Arabidopsis thaliana: one gene and its partner. The protein of the gene in region 1 interacts with the protein of each later gene in a pairwise test. Each region holds a gene or a part of one and is shown in the gene's direction. Other genes may lie near its edges.

The links. Proteins that work in one complex are often made in the same cells at the same time.
Region 2: the proteins of WRKY60 (region 1) and VAR2 interact in a two-hybrid assay, tested with the Arabidopsis thaliana proteins (one large-scale study listed by BioGRID).

Annotation. Positions count from the first base shown.
Region 1 is NC_003071.7:10,628,024-10,631,960, forward strand, and holds WRKY60 (WRKY DNA-binding protein 60), read left to right. Parts: upstream 1-1,638; 5' UTR 1,639-1,788; coding exon 1,789-1,845; exon of another isoform or gene 1,846-1,939; coding exon 1,940-2,002; exon of another isoform or gene 2,003-2,206; coding exon 2,207-2,515; intron 2,516-2,598; coding exon 2,599-2,715; intron 2,716-2,802; coding exon 2,803-3,072; 3' UTR 3,073-3,390; downstream 3,391-3,937. Other genes in the region: AT2G24990 (Serine/threonine-protein kinase Rio1), read left to right, coding at 1-276; AT2G25010 (Aminotransferase-like, plant mobile domain family protein), read left to right, coding at 3,668-3,751, 3,828-3,937. UniProt on the Arabidopsis thaliana protein: Transcription factor. Interacts specifically with the W box (5'-(T)TGAC[CT]-3'), a frequently occurring elicitor-responsive cis-acting element.
Region 2 is NC_003071.7:13,172,618-13,177,594, forward strand, and holds VAR2 (FtsH extracellular protease family), read left to right. Parts: upstream 1-1,703; 5' UTR 1,704-1,793; exon of another isoform or gene 1,794-1,902; 5' UTR 1,903-2,062; coding exon 2,063-3,247; intron 3,248-3,332; coding exon 3,333-3,646; intron 3,647-3,732; coding exon 3,733-3,973; intron 3,974-4,087; coding exon 4,088-4,447; downstream 4,448-4,977. Other genes in the region: AT2G30960 (myosin-M heavy chain-like protein), read right to left, coding at 4,924-4,977. UniProt on the Arabidopsis thaliana protein: Part of a complex that function as an ATP-dependent zinc metallopeptidase.

The DNA of each region.
Region 1 (3,937 bases):
CTTAAGGATGCTCTTCCTAAAATAGAAGAGCAGAAAATAGAGGTGAATGATGAAGAGAAAGAAGAGGAAGGAGAGGAAGAAGAAGACGGAGAAAGTGAAGAAGGAAGTGAGGAAGAAGAGAGTGAAGAAGAATTGGGTCATGAAGACAAGAAAGCTGCAAGGAAAGAGCACAAGAAGAAAGTGAAAGAGGAGAAACGAGAGTCTAGGAAGACGAAGACACCCAAATCTGTCAAGAAGCGAAAGAAGAAAGTCTCTAAACCACACAAGACTCGTTAATCCGAGTTAGAAGTTTTGACACCCCAACTTGTATTTTTATTTATATTTTGAAATTTTGTGTCAAATTCTGGGAAATCGAGTATGGACCCAAAGCTCTCTATATTTCCAAAAATAGCAAGTTCTTGTAATATTCATAGTATGACTTTATTATAGAGCCCGAAATTGGTTTGCTGCTGTTTCAAGAATAGGATTCAAATTTCTGTTCCTTTCCTCACATCCCTAACCAACTTGACAATTCGAATAATGGTTGTGTCTAAATTTATCAACTCAAGTTTTGAGATTGTTGGCTTATAGTATGAAAATTCTAATCCTGCAACTAGTTTATTTACAACATTTTTTCTTTGTTTAATGAGTTCTTGATTTTATACAGTTTAGTGTTTATGAGCTTTTCTTCTTAAGCCTCTGTTTCCATAGTTTATATCTTAATACGTGTTTTCTCTTTCTTTTGGAGCTTTGATTATCTCTTTTAAACTATGTTTTCGAAGATATCTTTGTTTTCTGCCGGTTTTGTAAGATCGGAAAATATATTTTTATTTTATAATATTAATAAAAAAGATGACAAAACAAAAAATAATGATTTTCTTTCAAACTTAATGAACATAAAAAAAAGGGAAACGAAATCTTATTTTGCCTAGCTGACATAATTAACTAATGCAACTAAATGTAGGTAGGATTAAGTAAACAAAAATATGAGACAAAATTAAACATGCCAACCTCCAGGGCATAGTCAATGGGTCAAGTCAAGCGAAAGTTGGTCTGGATCTTACAATGCAACTTAATGTAAAGTACTCATTTTTCTTCGACATGGGACATCCGCCGAAATTGTTGATTTTTGATCCATCTTTACACTTGTTTTCTCCGATTACAACAAAACATAACAATTCGACTACGATTTAACACCTAACCTTTTTAATTTTTTAGGACACGCATTTAGTATTTACGATGCAAGCCAACAAATTTAATCCAACGTATTAAACACAACTTGCTTTTTGTCAATACGTATTAAATTAAATAGTTTTCTTGCAATTTTTGTTTACACATTTCATTAGTATTGTTTTTTTCCAATATTTTTGTTTCTATGTTCAATCACTATCATATGCATAATACACATTATAATTTTGGCACAATTAGAATTACACACAAGGATTTTATAAATGTTTTTAAAATGATTTACAAAAGATTTTATAAAAATTTTACAAAAGTTTTTAAAAGATTTAATAAAAGTTTTAAAACGATTTTACAAAGAGTTTTAAAAACTTTTAAAGGTTTTAAAGAAAGTTTATGAGAATTTACAAGAATTGTAAAAGATTTATAATAATTTTTTTAGAATTAGAAAGGAGACCCTCATTTTCCACCCAAATCGTCAACCTTCTCATAATTGACAAGTTATTACACTCTCTCCACTTACTAGTTACTATAAAACCAAAGGAGACCAAATCTCTTAGCAATTATGAATTTGGTCTTCGCTATAATCTCACGTTACATTAAATTGGCTCCTGTGAACCTAAATTTATGGACTATGATCCCAACACCAATCCGTTCGACCTTCATTTCTCCGGTAAACTTCCGGTGAGTTTTTCAATTTCTTCGAAAATTTCACTTCAATTTTCGAGGTTGTGGTGATTATTCGTGGTGTTCATATATATTTTATTGCCTGATTTAGAAAAGAGAAGTCTCGGCTTCAGCTTCTAAAGTTGTAGAGAAGAAATGGTTAGTGAAAGATGAGGTTAGTTCTTTCATCGAACACTTTGGTGTGCAATACTTTGACCTCAAAATTTTTGACTATGAGTGAATGGATTAGGTTGATCAAGTTCTCATATCTGATTTAGACATTGAATAGTTTGTTTAGATCGGTGATGCTCAAAAGTTGAACAAATCAAAGCTTTGTCTTACAGCTTAGTTTGGTAATGGTGATTTTCATTTTACACAGAAGAGAAATATGCTACAAGATGAAATAAACCGGGTTAATTCGGAGAACAAGAAGCTAACCGAAATGTTAGCAAGAGTCTGTGAGAAGTACTATGCTCTTAATAATCTTATGGAGGAGTTGCAGAGTCGAAAGAGTCCTGAAAGTGTTAACTTTCAGAACAAACAGCTAACGGGGAAACGAAAACAAGAACTTGATGAGTTTGTTAGCTCCCCAATTGGACTCAGTCTCGGACCAATCGAGAACATCACCAACGATAAAGCGACGGTTTCAACCGCTTACTTTGCTGCTGAGAAGTCTGACACAAGCTTGGTAAGGAGATTTCTACTACAAGTATCGTTCTTTGAGTGTATTGATTTGTTAACGAATGTTTTGTGGATATACGTTACTTGTAGACTGTGAAAGATGGATATCAATGGAGGAAATACGGGCAAAAGATTACGAGAGATAATCCATCTCCTAGAGCTTACTTCAGATGCTCGTTTTCACCGTCTTGTCTAGTCAAGAAGAAGGTACTTTGGTTTAAACTTTGTTAAAGAGTTCTTCGATATCATCTTGCTGTCTGATTAAATTCCCTAGTTGTGTGTGCGCTTGTTTAGGTGCAACGAAGTGCAGAAGATCCATCTTTCTTGGTAGCCACTTACGAAGGGACACATAACCACACCGGACCACATGCAAGTGTGTCCAGGACAGTGAAACTTGATCTAGTTCAAGGTGGGCTTGAACCAGTTGAGGAAAAGAAAGAGAGAGGGACGATTCAAGAGGTTTTGGTGCAACAAATGGCTTCTTCGTTGACCAAAGATCCTAAGTTCACTGCAGCTCTTGCGACTGCTATTTCCGGGAGATTGATAGAGCATTCAAGAACATGAAAGTTCTCTAGAACATGTATATTTCTGTTTTGTTCTATTTTGTTGCTCATTCCTAGTAAAAAGGTAAAGATTTGTTTGATCTTGATTAGGAGGCATAGATGTCAATTTTAATGTGTGTGTATATAATTACATCAAATCTAAGTATCCAAAAAGGGTCACCCCCATTTTATCTTATGTTGAAAGAGTTTTGTTATAGCTCGGTGTAAGTATGGTAGATTGACGCTGCTTCGACAGTTTATGTATCTTCCAATGTTATCTTGTTCAGTTGTTTGTATTAACTTCCATTAGAGAAGAATGTGATGCCATTACAGACATAAAAGAAACAGAGAAACCCGGAAACAGAGTAAAACCACGAAAAACAGAGTCGGTTTAAGAGAACCAAACCAAAATAACCGGTACAGCTATAAAAAGCCAAGAAGAAAAATTATGAACCGAGTCCAAATTAGGTTACGGTTAGCTTCCAATCCCAACTTCTTCTTCTTCTTCATCTGTGTTTAGTCCCAAATTGAAGAATCAAAAGTTTCGTGTTTTGAGAATTTGACAAAAATTTGTTTATGTAATCTTAGTTTTCGCTGATTTTGAGTAAGTTATCGACATGGATATTGATGTCGGACCAGTTGATCCATCTGTCCTATACGAGCAAGACCTCCATGTTTCTTCTGCTGTTTGGGAAGGACAGGTTTTTTTCTTAATTCCCTTGCTAAATTTCAGATTTTGAATTTAGGGTTAATCTTATTTCCCCTTACTTACCTTAGGAACGAGGTCTACTTCGTTGTCAAGAACACACTTCATTGCTACATCAATGGAAACTCACTGATGAACAAATTAACCTCGTGGACAAAGCTGGTTTCGGTTACTTTCGCAA
Region 2 (4,977 bases), 2.5 Mb from region 1:
GATTAAAGAGAAGTATCCAGATAGAATTCCGGTGAGTGTCTCTCTTGTCATTGATCGATCATACAATAACTTGCTTAACTTTCACAACAATTATAGCCTTTTCTCTACGCATTGTTTGGAATTGTGGTGTTCTCTACGCATTGTTTTAAACTTCTGTTGTTTAAGAAATTATAGAATATCTGCATAAAGTATGTTAAGGTTTATACGTTTATTCACATGAACATGACCATGCTTCTGCTATCGAAGAAGAATTGCAATTCTCATGGAAAAGCCTCTGTTTTTTATAGTGCTTAGTAAGTATAGAGACTAGTAACTAGAATATTATTAGATTGGTTTATGCATTTCTTTTATGGCTTTTGATGAACAATTGGTCCATATGCCATTATTTTCGGTTATATGGTCCTTATGTGACACATTACTGTTAAGTGTTTCTTTCTCATCTAAACGTTGAAGAGTAGTTTGATTGTTGTATTGACCGTTAAGCATTTGTACTCTTACTGAAATCTTGAGAGCTGTCATTTTCAGGTGTATGTAGAATTGCAGACTACATTCTTTAAGTTCTTGAGCTTGGAACAATACTTTTCTCACTCTACTTGTTTCTGCAATTAAATGGTAATAACAATTTCTAATGTCAGTTAAAAATCTTTCAAGTTGATTTTTGTTTAGCTTTTTCTATTGAGGTTCAAACTTGTAAGCACGCGATTGAAACCAACTGTAGAATGACAGATCTTGTTTGTTATTCTGTCTTTATGTTACTTTGTGTCATCTTCTATATACTTTTACATACCTTACAGGGCCGCTTAGTGATCTTGAAATGGCTTTAAAGAACAAACTTATCACTGACATGTTGTCAAATGCTTGAATGGTGCCTTTTATGTCTTGAAAGTTAGTCTTTTTGTGTCGGTTAATGCTTCTTCACTTGTTTTTGTTCTGTTCGGTTATGAATCTTATTATCTTAAGTTGTTTGTGTTCTGTTCTAAATTGGTTTCATTGTGCTCTGTTCTAATTGGTTTGTGTTCGTGTTCAAACTTCAATAGATTGGTTTGTGTTCTGTTCTAAATGAATTTCAACTTCGTTTTAAGGATGATGTCCCTGTCGAGATGCAAGAGTTCAAGGAAGCATAAATAGCAAGCACATGCAAGTGTTGTTCTGTTCTGTGTATAAGTGTATAGGCTATGGTCGTGTGAAGATGCACTTGAGTTTGTGTGTCGAATTTTGTGAGTGTATCAAGTTTTGAGAGCGTAGAGTCTGTGTCAAGTTTTGAGAGTCAAATGTATCCCAAACACTTTCACATTTTTTTCAAAATTTTTTTTTAGTTTTATTAGAAACTCACTTAAGGATTTTTTTAATGGACCAAAAATTTTTCAAAAACTCTACAAAATCTCTAAACTACAAAAATATCAAAATTAATTAATAAAAAATACATAGAAACCTTACTTAGAAACTAACCAATGTGGTTGCTCTGAGAGTACTACAAAAATAAAATAAAATGTGTAATATACAAATTGCAAGAGAATACATAACATAACAGAGAAATTCATATGTACAGTAATTGAAAATCGTCGAGTAAACCAATTTTGGTTTGGATACCAATTCAGTTTTTGGTTAGATTCGGGTAATTAAATTAAACCACTCAATGAAGGACACGTAAGTTCTTCACGAACCACATCTGTTCCCTTAAAAAAAAATCTCCAAGTCCCTTGCACTATTCTCCTCTCTTTCTCTCCATCCTCCATATTTGCAGAGCTCGAGATTCTCCTTCCCTATACAACTCTCATCTGTAATCGATACAGGTTTGTCTTCTACCTCTTCTCTTTGGTTAGATTCTTTTATAATCTCCGTCGCTGCATAACTCTGACTGGGTTTTCTTCGGCAAATTCTGATTTCGTCGCTTTGTGTTAGTTTTAGTTCCTTGATTTCTAATTCACTGAATTAAGAACTCGAAGTATGTTTACTGTTCCTTTGATCTGAGGGTTAGGTTCTTGTACTTGTAAGAAACTTGCTTGTTCTGTCTCATCGTTCATGGGATTTGATATATCATCTAATTAATTTTTCTTCTTTGATGAATTTTCAGATGGCAGCTTCATCAGCTTGTCTTGTGGGAAATGGTTTGTCAGTGAACACAACAACCAAACAGAGGTTAAGTAAACATTTTTCCGGCAGACAGACAAGCTTTTCTTCAGTGATTAGGACATCTAAGGTTAATGTAGTGAAGGCTTCTTTGGATGGGAAGAAGAAGCAAGAAGGAAGAAGAGATTTTCTCAAAATCTTGTTAGGAAATGCTGGGGTCGGTTTGGTTGCAAGTGGGAAAGCAAATGCTGATGAACAAGGTGTTTCTTCGTCGAGGATGTCGTATTCTAGGTTTCTAGAGTACTTGGATAAGGATAGGGTGAATAAAGTTGATTTGTATGAGAATGGGACTATAGCTATTGTGGAAGCTGTTTCTCCTGAATTGGGTAACCGGGTTGAGAGAGTACGTGTTCAGCTACCGGGTTTAAGTCAAGAGCTTCTACAGAAGCTTAGGGCTAAGAATATTGATTTTGCAGCACATAATGCTCAGGAAGATCAAGGTTCTGTGTTATTCAACTTGATTGGTAATCTTGCTTTCCCGGCGCTTTTGATTGGTGGTTTGTTCCTTCTTTCGAGACGGTCTGGTGGTGGAATGGGTGGACCTGGTGGTCCTGGTAACCCACTTCAGTTTGGTCAGTCCAAAGCAAAGTTCCAAATGGAACCTAACACTGGTGTAACATTTGATGATGTTGCTGGAGTTGATGAAGCAAAGCAAGATTTCATGGAAGTGGTGGAGTTTTTGAAGAAACCTGAGAGATTCACTGCGGTTGGTGCCAAGATCCCGAAAGGTGTTCTTCTTATTGGTCCTCCTGGTACCGGGAAAACCCTTTTGGCAAAAGCCATTGCTGGTGAAGCTGGTGTGCCTTTCTTCTCCATCTCTGGTTCTGAGTTTGTTGAGATGTTTGTCGGTGTTGGTGCCTCGAGAGTCCGTGATCTTTTCAAGAAAGCCAAGGAGAACGCTCCTTGCATTGTCTTTGTAGATGAAATAGATGCTGTTGGTAGGCAAAGAGGAACCGGAATTGGTGGAGGTAATGATGAAAGAGAACAGACCCTCAATCAGCTCCTAACTGAGATGGATGGTTTTGAAGGTAACACTGGTGTTATCGTAGTTGCTGCAACCAATAGAGCAGACATTCTTGACTCTGCTTTGTTGAGGCCAGGACGGTTTGACCGGCAGGTACTATCTGATTATTACACATTGATATGTTTTGTAATCCTGTACTACTCCTAGAGCTTGTGCTTACTTATAATTTCTGGTGCAGGTAAGTGTTGACGTTCCTGACGTTAAGGGGAGAACAGATATTCTCAAGGTTCATGCCGGCAATAAGAAGTTCGACAATGATGTTTCACTTGAAATAATAGCAATGAGAACACCTGGATTTAGCGGAGCAGATCTCGCTAACCTCTTGAATGAGGCTGCTATATTGGCCGGAAGGCGAGCACGGACATCGATATCATCTAAAGAGATTGATGACTCCATTGATAGAATCGTTGCTGGCATGGAAGGAACAGTGATGACCGATGGCAAGAGCAAAAGCTTGGTAGCTTACCATGAAGTTGGTCATGCAGTGTGTGGGTAAGTGAGAAACATATTAAAAGCCTGTCTGTATATTATTACTATCAAAAACTTACTTTAAAGTTATAAACTTTGGTTTTTTACAGAACATTGACTCCAGGACATGATGCTGTGCAAAAGGTAACGTTGATACCAAGAGGCCAAGCAAGAGGTCTGACTTGGTTCATTCCATCAGATGACCCGACACTCATCTCCAAGCAGCAACTCTTTGCAAGAATTGTTGGTGGACTCGGTGGTAGGGCCGCTGAAGAAATCATCTTTGGTGATTCCGAGGTGACTACTGGCGCAGTTGGTGACTTACAACAGATCACCGGTTTGGCTAGACAGGTACGCGACACGTTCAGCTTCACATTAGTTATGCTGGAGCCTGATGATAAGTTTGATCTTTTACTAGTTGATGAAACTGAGTGTTTGAGACTGTTGAATATTTTTACTTTGCAGATGGTAACAACATTTGGAATGTCTGATATTGGACCATGGTCTTTGATGGATTCTTCGGCACAAAGCGATGTCATCATGAGAATGATGGCAAGAAACTCCATGTCTGAGAAGCTTGCAGAAGACATTGATTCTGCGGTGAAGAAACTATCAGACAGTGCATATGAGATAGCTCTAAGCCACATAAAGAACAATCGTGAAGCCATGGATAAGCTCGTTGAAGTGCTTCTCGAGAAAGAAACTATTGGCGGTGACGAATTCAGGGCAATTCTTTCCGAGTTTACTGAGATCCCCCCGGAAAACCGAGTTCCTTCTTCAACAACGACAACTCCAGCATCAGCACCAACACCAGCTGCTGTCTAAGTAATCAATCTGTATACTTGTGATACTTATAATTTTTCTGTAAATTTATCTTCAAACTTACACTCTAGAAATGTGATACTATCTCAAAATTTAGTAACAAGTAAATGTTTAAAAAATTGAATTTGTAGGCTTGTTTATGATATTGTCCAGATTTGCAACACTCAAACCGAAATTCAAAAGTATTTTCAAGTAGCACAAGCAGAACACCAAAAACTGTTATGGAATCATGTTCTTTATACTTACAAACTTATGTACATTTGCTTACAATTAACCTCAAACCATTAGTCCCTAATGCTTCAGAGTCTTTAATCCAACACCATCATCATCTCTCTGTTCAATGAACATCCAAGAATAGTAGCATTCCAGAGCTAAGCAGAAAACCTGAAACCAAAATATTCTAAAAGATCAATGTTTGATTCCAAATCAGTAAATAGAAACCGTAAAGAAGCAACATTTATCAAACCTTAAAGGAAACGTTACGCATTAAATGGCTTCACGCCACTTGCAATTCCATCACCAGCTCTCTCGTT